Danio rerio: one gene and its partners. The main gene of each other region encodes a partner of the protein of the gene in region 2 in a complex. Links are inferred from orthologs where the notes say so. Each region holds a gene or a part of one and is shown on either strand. Other genes may lie near its edges. The genes, in order: plxna4, nrp1a and plxna2.

Region 1 (3,652 bases), on a different chromosome or scaffold from region 2:
AGTTTCACATATCTCCCTATATTCAGTAGGTTTTTAGTGCACTGTTAATTGGATCTCAAGCTAATTAATTCTAATTACAATTTAATGATGAGCATGTCAGCGCATTTCATGTTTGGGAGAGAAAGTGTGCATTTTAATGTCCCCAAGAGCCATTATTCCTATTGAGCGTACTGCACAGTGCTAATACCAAAGACAATTCACAGAGGTCATCTGCTCCCATCTATGTAGTTTACTATAATTAGAATCAGGCAGATTGAAATGAACCTAAAATTTAGAACATGTGCTCTGTTGATTACGCTCACTTGGGGGGCATTTATAATCAGTAAAACCCACTGGACTGCAGTACTAGATTACTGAAATGGCTCTTCATGTGAATGTGTCTAGTACCTTCTTAGCAGTAGTTTGGGATGGTTTTTGCTTTCCAGGTTCTTGTCAATGAGGTCAGACAACAGGTGTTTGAGTACGTCGGTCGCATACTCCAGTTTACTTTGCAAAACGGTCATGATCAAGGAGGCGACATTGCCACGGTCTCGCATGGAGAAGCCTCTCTGAGACTCCAGTGTTCGGATGAAAGACAGCAGGAAAACCTTGTTGTTGATAAGTTGTCCAAACAGTTTTAGCCCCTTCTCCACCTGCTCCTGTCTGTAACCTGGCACCTGAGGGAAAAACAAATTACTCAATCAATCAAATCTAAACCAACATCATCAACTTTCCTAATGCACAATGGTCTCGTTTTATTTTTCACAGATAAATACATTCAATGTTAGCATTGCTGACTTTAGATATCTTTAGACCTAAATAAATGTCTTCAATGTCACGTGTTAAGAATGCTCACTTAGGCTCCAACTTGGGTTATTTGTATTGGAAGCTTTTTCCAGCCCTATCAATTAGCCTATGGCAATCCCAGCTAGTGTCCAATGAAACACCCACAGGCATTTAAACTGAAGAGGACCAAATATATTTAACAAATAAAAAAGAAACCTAAAGACAAACAAATCAGGATGCAGATGAACAGCTCAAATTGAATCTAATAACATCTGCTTACCGGGTTAAGATGCATTCATTATATGCCTAGAATTCCAAATGACAAACACTTAACCAGGCAGAGACCCCATAGTGTCATTTGATGCAATCTGTCTCATCAATAACCATTAAATACCTGTCAGAATCTCTAGACAGCTCCTGTCATTAGCTGTGATTTTACTATAAACTTTTCCAGAGAGAGGGGATGTTAATTCCAATTAAGGCTTAATTGATATAGCTGATTAGAAGCAGAGCTCATTTGCAATAAGCAGGTAAGGTATGGTTTGTATTCTGGCTGAAGAAACGTGTGTGATTCAATTAGAACTGTCCATCACTGTCTTTGCAGGGCATAAATAACCTGTAGCATGGTGTATGCTGCATTAGATTTTAATTCTGTTCCCCTCACTCAGAAAAAAAACAAAACAATTGTGTCACATGTCATTACTGTTATTAACGAAAGACTGATTGTGAATCAGAGAGCAGCTCATTACTTTAAAAAAAAAATTGTGAGCTAGAGAGAAAAAGACTGCATGTAGATTATAATGAGAGCTGCTGCCTATTGTTTACTGAGGGTGAACACAAACAGCACAGTGACAGCTTTAATTCCCAACAACCCCACTGAGCCGTTAGTCTTTCAGTCCCGAAAAACAGAAAGAAAATACTTAGCAGCCATTATGTGACTGTTCCTCGCACAGGTACAATGTGCAGTAATTACATGCATACAGAAATATGTAAATATATGCATGTACATCTCAAAAACTCAGCAAAGGGCTCTTTGAATGCAAATTGAGCATTGCACAAAACATCAGTAAAAAATGTTAGGATACCTCCAGGTCTCTAAGGACAGGGTGCTCCTCGATTCCAGGAAACAGAACCCGCATTGTATATGTGCGATAGTCCAGAAATGGTATACCAGCTCCATCCAGATCACTGGTCAACTCATGAATGTCCGTTTGCAGCTCAGCGAATGCTGCAAAAAATCCACAGTACCATGAACAAATAGGCTTTGGTTTAGGAATGATTTAGCATTTTTCATTGCTTATTAAATTTTAAAGTTCAAGCAAGTCTTATATTCTCAATTGACAAACCACTTCCCCTAGAGACCACTTACCCTCTTTACACTCTAGGGCTACTCTAGACTCCAGGTTGTCCATCTGCATCTGCAGGCGTTTGAGGGTGAGGTCACTCTCACGGGACTTGCGCTTGTAGGCAATTAAGACTATGACGATGAAAAAGATGAGAAGGCCTCCTGCCCCAGCAATGCTGATGACAGCAGTGCTGCTGAGGGGGCTGTCAGAGGTGATGTGGACCACACCTGGAGAAAACTCAATGCCACCCACACGTGCCTAAAATGAAGCAGATTTTGTAAACCTTTTTAATGAAATATATGAAGCGCTGTACCAAAAACTTGCATTACTAAACCTAAGCTATCATTCACTGATTCAAATTTATCAATGGAGAAATGCAATATTATTTGATGTTACATTCTGATAATAAGAACAATGGTTCATAAGCAGAAGGAGATTTTTCTGTTCTGTTCATGGTTGTAATGGTGCCACTGTTCTACGACTGTCAACAAACAGGCAGTGAAGTGGGCAACCTTCCAGAGTTCCCAGTGAGAAGCATAAAACTTGTTTAGTAGGTTTTTCAGCTCTTATAACTCTTACTCTGGAGGTATTTTTTTTCTCTGTCAGCCTCTCAGAAAGTACAATAAACACAGTCCCTAAAGGATGTGTTCACTGCAAAAAAAAAAAAAAAAAAAAAAAAAAAAAAATGGATATGAGCCACAGCATTCAGCAACTTACCAGAACCTTGTGGCGTCCAGTAAGATTAGGTGATTCACAGAGCAGTTGAGTATCTGACACAGTTAATGCACAAGGTTTGTCTCCAATCAGAACAGTGTAGTTGAGCTTCCCATTGCCACCAGGCGTGGGAGGTAGGAAGTTCCTGCCCTGAAATTAAAATTCACAAAAATCTCTAATAGCTGAAACTGACAATTTAAAGAGATGTCGCACAAATTTTGGTGAGCTTTTGGTTTACCTTCAGTATGATGGGAGACCCTGGCTTGAGCTCCTGAACCCCAGACACACTGAGAGGTTCGAACACAGGATTTGGGTAGTATACAAAGTTGGTGTTGTTGAGGGCCAGCACAGACTGAACATTGTCCAGGATGAAGCCAAACTCATCGGGTCTTTCTGGAACATCCTTGTGCTTGCTGATACTGTAGGGAAGCTCTGGGGCCATGCACTGCATAGTGGTTGGACTCAAAACCTGACATATCTGGTAAAGGGAAATGAATGTACAATAAATAATATGCAGTCCATGTGCAATTTAGAGTAAATAAAAACATTAAGATTTAGATTAACAATAAATGCACATTTTAGATTAAGATTGGTTTGATTGGTCATTCCTGAGTTGCTACAATAGAGGCTGCAGGAGTACATGTAGATGTTATTTGTCTCAAAGTTACACAATTCCAAGCACTTTTTAAAAGGCCATACTCTGTACCTGCCGTTCTGGTGACTCACTAAAGAATTACTACCATCATCTTTGCTTTGTAGAGAGAGCAGTTGACATTGTCATCTCTCTGTTACCCTGTCTTTCCTCAGTTAAATCCATTTAGCAGACC
Region 2 (4,279 bases):
TTGATCAAAATCCTCTGGTTGGGTCCTGGAGCTGTAATCACCCATATGCATTTCTGAGACGGGTAGTAAGATACTGGATAGCCGGGCGATGTGAGATAATTGGCACTAGTGATCCTGATATTGTCTCCACATTTGTCTGAAAGAACAGAAAAGACACATTATCACGCATGCTGGAAGAAAATACCAACATGTTGCTTTCTGAATGCTTTTCCTTACGTGGAGTATTTTCCTTATGATGGAGAATTAAAAGAGAAAGATTATTCAGTTCAATCAGTCTCACTACAACACATGATTATGTTTGTTTATCAACCTAAAGTGAAGCCATACAATAATAAAAACAGCTTTTTAAACACTCTTAACACTGGATTTTCTTCTAGTATCTATTTCCCACAGTGCATGTTCAACATCACATTGCCTAAATGGTTTATTTTGTAACACCTCATACAATAGCACTATTGTGGTTTGACATAAGAATGACTGTGCCGTTTCTCTCCAAATACTCTCTGAGATACAATCTCCTCTAGTCATTTCTGACCCATTTCTAAGCACTAAATAAAGGCTTGATATTTGCGCCTACATTTAATGTCATTATGTGGGAGGGAAGCGTGACCTTTGTCTGTTAAATATTTCATTTATTTGGTCCCTTCCACAGCGGATCAACACTGAATTTCATCATATCCATCAACAACAAACAAACTTACAGAGTAAGCGCATGGCTCAGGGTCTGATGGAGATGTTTACACACAAACACGTTGTCTTTTTTGTTTGTTAGAATAAAAATGAACACATTCAGACCACAGATTCGTCAATTTCAATGTAAATTCATCAACAAACGATGCAAGCAATAAAAACAGATCAAGATATTTGAGTTTCTAGGTTAAGCATACATAAGGATAACTAAATTATCCAGATGCATTACATTGGGTAATGTGTAACATGTTAAAAAGGTCATTTCACAGGGATTATAAATGTATTAAATTTAGATTTTTTTAATGAATAATACTTAGAGGTTTTTAATAGGTGGTTAGTATGTATAACAACTTTTTAAAGCTTAAATTGGGTCAACACTCATAATTTATTCCATGTGCTTAAAGTGCTTTGGCGACTACCTTGTGTCCAAGTCCATATTCAGACAACAAATTTGTCAGTTTCAACGCAAATTTGTCGACAAATGGAGCAAGCAAAAAATAAATAAATAAATAACAGATCAAGATTTTTAAGTTTCTAGATTAAGAATACATAAGCGATCCAGATGTTTTACATTAGGTAAAGTGTAACATTATTTCAACAGGAGTAAATGTATATATACTTCAATGAGTAATCCTTAGATGTTTTGAAATGGAAGTTGATAATCCAAAATGTGAAATAATATCGATAACAACTTTTTAAAACTCAAATTTGGTATATTGAATCATTCATTTAGTTTAATAATGTAGTGCACAACATGCATGACTTATTCCACGTGCCTAAAGTGGTTTGGCGACTATCTTGTATCCAAGTCTACATTAAAGTGACCCGAGAAAATGTTGCTAGAATCCCACAGGATTTTTTAGTCTGGACAGGCGTGATTAAGATACACACTTTATCTGATTTACATACAGGAACAGAAACATAAGAAGAAGAATACAAATGGCCTAGTCAGTAATAGCATAACTTTACAAGTTAATAACATTATTACACCTATTTACATTCAAACCTAAATGAAAATGTATAATTGTAGATCATAAAATAAAGTCACACAAGCATTATTACGATTCACTGGAATATTTAATGCTTTAATGTGGATATTTTTCTTAAGATTACGATCATAAACCCTAAACTTTGGAGAAACAAGACTTTATGTAGCACTTTATATTATAAATGTTTATTAAGAGTACTAATTTAAACGTATTGTAATGTTTAACATCTGAGTAGCAGATGTGTATTAATATAAAAAGAGGCTATACTGTCGCCTACACATTAAAATACGAGTGTCTAATATTTGTAAATATCTAAACGCATGCACAATAGAGGCTCATTTCGTAATTTAGAAACCATAATGTAATAAAGCAAGTCAAATGAATGAGATGAAATATAATATTTACTATTTTGTAAATAATAGCTATGTTAATTACAGATACACGCATGTTTTGGGCACAATCACACCGCGCGTTTTGTTGTACGGTGTTATAAATACGAGCTGGATCTCAGCGCGGATTTGTGAAATGGTTTTGTCTGGTCATCCAGAGCCAGAAAGCGGCGGCAGGTGAGAGCAGGTGACCAGCCCGAAGTCGCAACCCCTCGTTAACAGGCTTTACCCCTCATCTAATCCCAAGAAAAAGTCATTAGACAGCCGTCAGTTTCAGCCGACACTCACCATTTTTGAGAGCACTGACGATGAGAAAGATTCCCGTAAAGAGGATCAACACTAATCCACAATGCATCCTCGAATCCTGGAGTTCGGAGTGCGGAAAAATAACACAAATTTGGCAAAAAACGATGAGACAATCCTCAGATGGTCGTATTTGGGTAATTCCTCTCGCGTGTAAAGAAGGAAACCGAAAGAGCGCGCAAAAGGGTCTGAGAGCTGTAGAAATGTGCGGTTTTGTGCGTCTTCAGGTCGCTCGCATCCTGCCATTCAGCTCTGGTTTCCTCTGCGCTCTCCCAGACCCGATCCTCTCTCCTTTGCCATTTCCTTCGCCCTGTTAAAGAATGACAGAAAAGGGAAAAAATCGTTGCAGTTCCGCGAAATAGACGAGTAATCCTGTGCGCAAAGACAAGAGAGATCGCTAGACTTTGGCTAAAAAAGTGCGGCTTGGATACGAGATTCAGCCTCCGCGTATAGTAACCCGGCGTTCTGCTTAGTCTCAAAATCGGAGTGAGGAACACAAACATCTGGCGATTGGCTTTGCCATAACAGCGTCTTAAACAAGGGATACACCCCCTAAATTACGCTTCTCTTCTTCCTAGAGTTTGTTGCTCTGCCGTGTGCCAGACGCGCAGGGGATTCTCATTGGTTTGATTACACATATGCAAAAGCCCGACCTATATGGAGCCCAACCTCCCGTATAAAAGAGCACAGAGACCCCGAGCTCTCCGCGAGACACCGTCCAGCCCTCGCGCGCTCTGGAAGTGCTCTTGATGTCGGGATTGCGGTGTAACATCAACGTTTAATACACGCAACAACTACTAGATTGCAACAACTACTAGATCAACTATCTGGATTGAAGCATGTGCACCTTCTGAATTGTATCTACATTATTTGCCAATGCATGTTCACGCAAACGCATGCAATGTTACCACAATTGGCATTAACACGGCGTGTTTTACTCCCGAACTTCCTTTAACATGATGCATATCAAGCGAAACATGAATATATGACAGGCATTCTGCATTTTAAAGATATATAAGATTAAAATCTGTTGCAATCTTGTATGTTTAACACTGCAGTGTGTGCACAAATACAAACTGCAGCAGTGAGACTCCACATAAGTTGATCGCATCGATATTTCTTCATGCTAAACGGACTAAGCCTGTCACTTCAACCGAGTCCTTCCTGCTCAGACAAACAATCAGCACTTGCCTACAAGCTGTCACCCCCGTTACATCCAGCAGTAATGCAGTACGATCCGGTGACCGCGATCGCCCAGTTATCTCCAGTCAAATCCATAAACATCAGCGTCTCCGAACAGCACTCAGCGTTCAGCAACTCTCATTGTATCCGTCATTTACGCTAAACCAAGCAGTCAGCGCGAGGAAACAAACACAGGGTCCTGCAGTACAGAGTCAGCCTAATATTTTGCAGTAATGACCGCGCACTTGCTCATGCAGTGGATATTAAAGCACCGGAGGAAAGGCGGACAGCGGGCTTCATTCCGCAGGAATCCGGGAGAAGTTGCGATCACCGCGGACTCCATGATCCATATCTCACGCCCTGTTCCGCGAGGCTGCCCCGGCCAAAAATGCCGCCTACAGCTCACTCTATCCTCTCTCCACAGAAAAAAAAACAAAGCATGCAGATTAATATAAAACAATCAGAGGGTTAAAATCATAGCTCACACTATTAAAATGCTGGGTTTGCTGTCATCCAATGTTGCATGAGGTCAAATCAAGCCAGACATTGAATTAAAAAAGGTCTCATGTAAGTTTAATAGACTTAATATAAAAATCATCATTAAAATTAATGCATTAAAATAATTAATAAAAATAAAGTTGTTCATTGTTAGCATGTTAACTCATGATGCATTAACTAATGTTAACAAGCATGAGTTTGTATTTTAATAATGCATTACTAAATGTT
Region 3 (4,128 bases), on a different chromosome or scaffold from region 2:
AAAGCCTGAAACAGCAGGATCCTTGTACAAACCAACTGAGCTACTGCACCGCTGAGCCACAGGCAGATGAACAACCAGGTGTGTGTGTGTGTGTGTGTGTGTTATACCCCATGATGTCCAAGTAATGGCCTAATAAATCTACTCATGCAGAAAGCAGATCTCACCACTGTTGGGCCAGGCATTCCTACACCTGCTGCTCCTCAACACAGAATCCAGTCGTCCTCCAGAGGCTCTGTCTGTGGAGCCATTCATCAAAGGTCTGTTTTTAATCATTTGTAATTTTGGTTAAGAAAAAATAGGTCTCAGCTATGTAAAATAATAATAATAATAATAATAATAATTTCTAGTCCATTTCTAGACAAACTGTGCTGAGAGTTGACTGAAAATGTGAATTGAACATTGACCAGAATCTAAATTAACAGCACATTAAGTACTCAAATTAAACGTGCATTAAGTTTAAACTGACTTACTGTAAATGAGGTTGTACAACTTACAAAAATAAGTTGAAATATTAACCTATTTTAGTACCTTTAAAGGATGGTTCACCCAAATGTAAACATTTCCTCATCGTTTCAATTCATTCTCAAGTTGTTTCAAACATTTATGAATTTCTTGCTTTTTTAAAAACCCAAAAGTTATTTTGGGTAAGAAGTTATTTTGAGGAATGTTGGAAGTCATTGACACCCGTAGTAGGAATAAAGCAATTCTAAGTCGATATCTGCTTTCCAACATTCTTCATAATATCATCTTCAGTGTTTGTGAGGCTGACGAACCAGGAAGACTTGTAGTGGGTTCTCGATGGATGGTTATGCGAGAAAAACTCAGGAAATTGATGGCACTGTACTCGCTAATGGAAAGTGTAAAGTGATGTTTTTTGTTTTGTTTTTTAAGGTGTACAAGAGTGAAAACCAAAATAACCCAAAGCCCCAGCAAAGTAACTAAATAACCACAAATAAAAGAACAAAATAATCAGCAAACAAACAAACAATATGTGTACAACCACACTATTATACAAGTCACAAATGGGTTATATGCACATGGACTTCAGCCAGTAAAGTGTCAGTCTTTCTATTGCAAAACTGTCACGTTTAGGATCTGATTTCTTTAAAAATGTATGAAGTGGGTCTCAGATCAGACAAGTAGCACTGTATTAAATTCCATTTCCCCCCCGCCATGTCTTTAAAATATGAGAGTTTATTTTACTCCAGTGTTTTCAATGGAATTTCTGCGCTAGCCTGTTGCTACTGACGGCGCTAGGGGTTACAACAGTCTTTTGTCTCGTTTTACAATTGAACAACTAAACTAATGATAAAGTCTATTCAACTGAATGTATTAATGCTGTAAAAACAACCTTGTGAAATTAAAAATAGTCATATTAAGCTTTCACCGGAAGTTTATCATTGGTTTTAAAACTCTAGTTGTGCATAGAGCCCATGCTGACTCGCTCACGCACTCATCCGTTAACCTGGTTTTCACTCTCGTGCACTGTAAATAAATGAAACCCAATCTTTGGACAAATAAATAAACGAATTTAACAAAACAAAAAAAGTCAATAAATGAAAACCACTGTTTGGTTAATTAAGTAAATAAATAAATATAAGTAAATAAAAATAATAAATTAATAAAATAAAAAACACTTTTTGGTTAAGTAAGTGTAATGAATAAATGAATGCATAAAAATAAATAAATATAAATCACTCTTTAAATAAATAAATAAATAAATAAATGAAATAAACAAAAAAATAAGTAAATAGATGAAAACCACTGTTTGGTTAAGTAAACAAACAAATAAATAAATAAATAAACACTCTTTGGTTAGTTAAATAAATAAATAAAAGAATAAACAAATAAACACACAAACACTCTTGGTTTTTACTCTCGTACACTGTACATAACCCATCACTTCACACTTTCCATCAGCGAGTATAGTGCCATCATTTGTCCGAGGTTTTCTTGCATTACCATTCATCGAGACCCACTATAGCCTTCTTAGTTCGTCAACCTCATAGTGTTGAGCAGAACAGTAGAAAGAAACTCAAACAAGAGTGAGTAAATGACTTTTTTTAAGTGAATTATCCCTTTAAATTTAGACAAAAACACTTGTTGTTGATGGGGGGTTTCTTCTTAAACGAAGATGAGGAAGGTAGGATGAATGGGCTTAATTATTGAAGGCTACAATTATTCTGATTGGTCTAGCAATGATATTTGATTGGACTAGCAATGATTACTAATGTGATGCCAGCCGCGATCAATCATATCATGTCCTCCTCTCTAAAATAACTTTATAAAACTTCATTTAGCGTTGTTTTGATTGCTTGGTAAAAATCTAATGCAAAATATACACCATTATAATTTTTTGATTTGTATCTTCACAGAACTTAAACAAATGATAGTAAAGCAAAACGACAGATTTCATTTTTCTTTTTCTGGACGAAAACAACCAAGAAAATTAAGCAACACCGGCTCATTGGAAACAAATGCTAAAAACTGCAAATAAACAAATAAACACTAGGGGGCAGTACGACGTCAACAACTTTTGTTCCTCTTGTCTTGACACTAGTGATATTTACAGGGACATATTGTCAACTAATAAATGACCTATTTGAGCAGTTCTTTCAAAATAAAAATCCCAAAGCAACTTAGACGCAATATAAAAAATGCATACGGTGTCCAGGATCAGTGATAGAACATGTTTACCTCAGCTGACATCTCCATGGTCAACTTCTCTTTTTCTGGTAGCTAGTGTTTGAGTCCGGCAAAGGAGATTCCACAAACGAAATAAAAGCAATGTAAAAAAATTCGAGGTAAAACTACATGCTTGCAGGGCACTTTTCTCCTACATTTGCTTTTAAAAACACTATGGTAAGTGGACATGTTCAAGGACGGTTTTCTAAAATGTAAAACAAAAAGTAGCGTATATAACAGCGCTCTCTAGCGGATTTGACATTGAATAATCATAGTTAATTTGTAGAAAGTAATTTATCAATCTTTACATGGACTGAGGGGCGTCACAGAGGGTACCACAATCGCCTCACAGCAAGACAGTTGAGCTCTGAGCCCTGTCTGGGTCAGTTGGCATATCTGTGTGGAGTTTGCATGTTCTCCCCGTGTTCATGTGGGTTTCCTCCAGGTCCTCCGGTTTTCCCGACAACTCCAAAGACATGCGCTATAGGTGAATTGGATGAACTAAATTGGCCGTAGTGTGTGTGTGTGTGTGTGTGTGTGTGTGTGTGTGTGTGTGTGAATGCAAGAGTGTATGGGTGTTTCCCAGTGTTGGGTTGTGGCTGGAAGGACATCTGCTGCCTAAAATATAGGCTAGATAAGATGGCGGTTTATTACACTGTGGCGACCCCGGATTAATAAAGGGGCTAAGCCGAACAGAAAATGAATTAATGCATATGGACTGACGCCATTCGATTAGATCAAGATTTGATCTGAATCAAGACTGAATTGACCTGAGATAAATAATAATAGTCACTGTCTTTAGCATGTTAGATTATATCTAAACTGAAGTCGTTTTCTGAATTAAATCAACACAAAATTCTGATACGTGCAAGATAATGACATACATGTCTCAATAGTTGAATGTCTGACACAATGTCTATTCTATGATGGACTATAAACTCAAAGCTGACTTGACTTCAGTGGGTAAAATATAAAGAAAAACATGAATCCTCTGAGAATTTTTGGCAACATATTTATTTTATTTCATAATGTTGCACTGATTTATTATATCATTGGCCTGTTAGATTAAGGTCTCCAACACACAGTAACACAACCTCTGCTTTTAATACTTCATAAAATCATCATGTAATAACATTGTAAAATTATTATTCATAACAAGCAAATAGTGAAACTAAAACTTTAGAAAAATGCTAATACCAGAACGCAAAAACAAATTATAATTACTGCAGCATACAAATAGGCATGGGCCGGTAGAAGATTCTGATGGTATGATAACCTTGGATAAAAATATCACAATTTCACAGTTATACGATATTGAGATTAATGCTCAAAAATATTTTCCTTATAAATATTTAAAAATCTAAACCTTTTGCCCCTTTGTACACAATATACTTTAATTTGGGAAACATTTATAGTATTTTAGAGCAGTAAACATTTCAGTCT

The links.
Region 1: the proteins of nrp1a (region 2) and plxna4 are in contact, whole or in part, in a cryo-EM structure (PDB 7M0R), measured with the Mus musculus proteins. The link is inferred for Danio rerio from reciprocal best matches to the Homo sapiens genes NRP1 and PLXNA4. Residues at the interface, in NP_032763.2 of Mus musculus: Arg80, Tyr84, Asp126, Tyr127, Glu128; in NP_786926.2 of Mus musculus: Glu272, Lys340, Lys343, Lys345, Leu349.
Region 3: the proteins of nrp1a (region 2) and plxna2 are in contact, whole or in part, in a crystal structure (PDB 4GZA), measured with the Mus musculus proteins. The link is inferred for Danio rerio from reciprocal best matches to the Homo sapiens genes NRP1 and PLXNA2. Residues at the interface, in NP_032763.2 of Mus musculus: Glu78, Arg80, Asp81, Lys83, Tyr84, Asp126, Tyr127, Glu128, Thr129; in NP_032908.2 of Mus musculus: Asp273, Leu274, Phe275, Glu306, Lys341, Gly342, Gln343, Lys344, Gln345, His348, Pro350.

Annotation. Positions count from the first base shown.
Region 1 is NC_133179.1:15,828,321-15,831,972, forward strand, and holds part of plxna4 (plexin-A4), read right to left. Parts: intron 3,304-3,652; coding exon 3,064-3,303; intron 2,976-3,063; coding exon 2,829-2,975; intron 2,370-2,828; coding exon 2,135-2,369; intron 1,994-2,134; coding exon 1,851-1,993; intron 657-1,850; coding exon 388-656; intron 1-387. UniProt on the Homo sapiens protein: Coreceptor for SEMA3A. Necessary for signaling by class 3 semaphorins and subsequent remodeling of the cytoskeleton. Plays a role in axon guidance in the developing nervous system. Class 3 semaphorins bind to a complex composed of a neuropilin and a plexin.
Region 2 is NC_133199.1:1,384,736-1,389,014, forward strand, and holds the start of nrp1a (neuropilin-1a isoform 1 precursor), read right to left. Parts: upstream 2,806-4,279; 5' UTR 2,424-2,805; coding exon 2,357-2,423; intron 137-2,356; coding exon 1-136. UniProt on the Homo sapiens protein: Cell-surface receptor involved in the development of the cardiovascular system, in angiogenesis, in the formation of certain neuronal circuits and in organogenesis outside the nervous system. Mediates the chemorepulsant activity of semaphorins.
Region 3 is NC_133198.1:36,290,621-36,294,748, forward strand, and holds the start of plxna2 (plexin-A2), read right to left. Parts: upstream 2,931-4,128; 5' UTR 2,698-2,930; exon of another isoform or gene 2,599-2,697; intron 260-2,598; exon of another isoform or gene 237-259; 5' UTR 165-236; intron 1-164. UniProt on the Homo sapiens protein: Coreceptor for SEMA3A and SEMA6A. Necessary for signaling by SEMA6A and class 3 semaphorins and subsequent remodeling of the cytoskeleton. Plays a role in axon guidance, invasive growth and cell migration.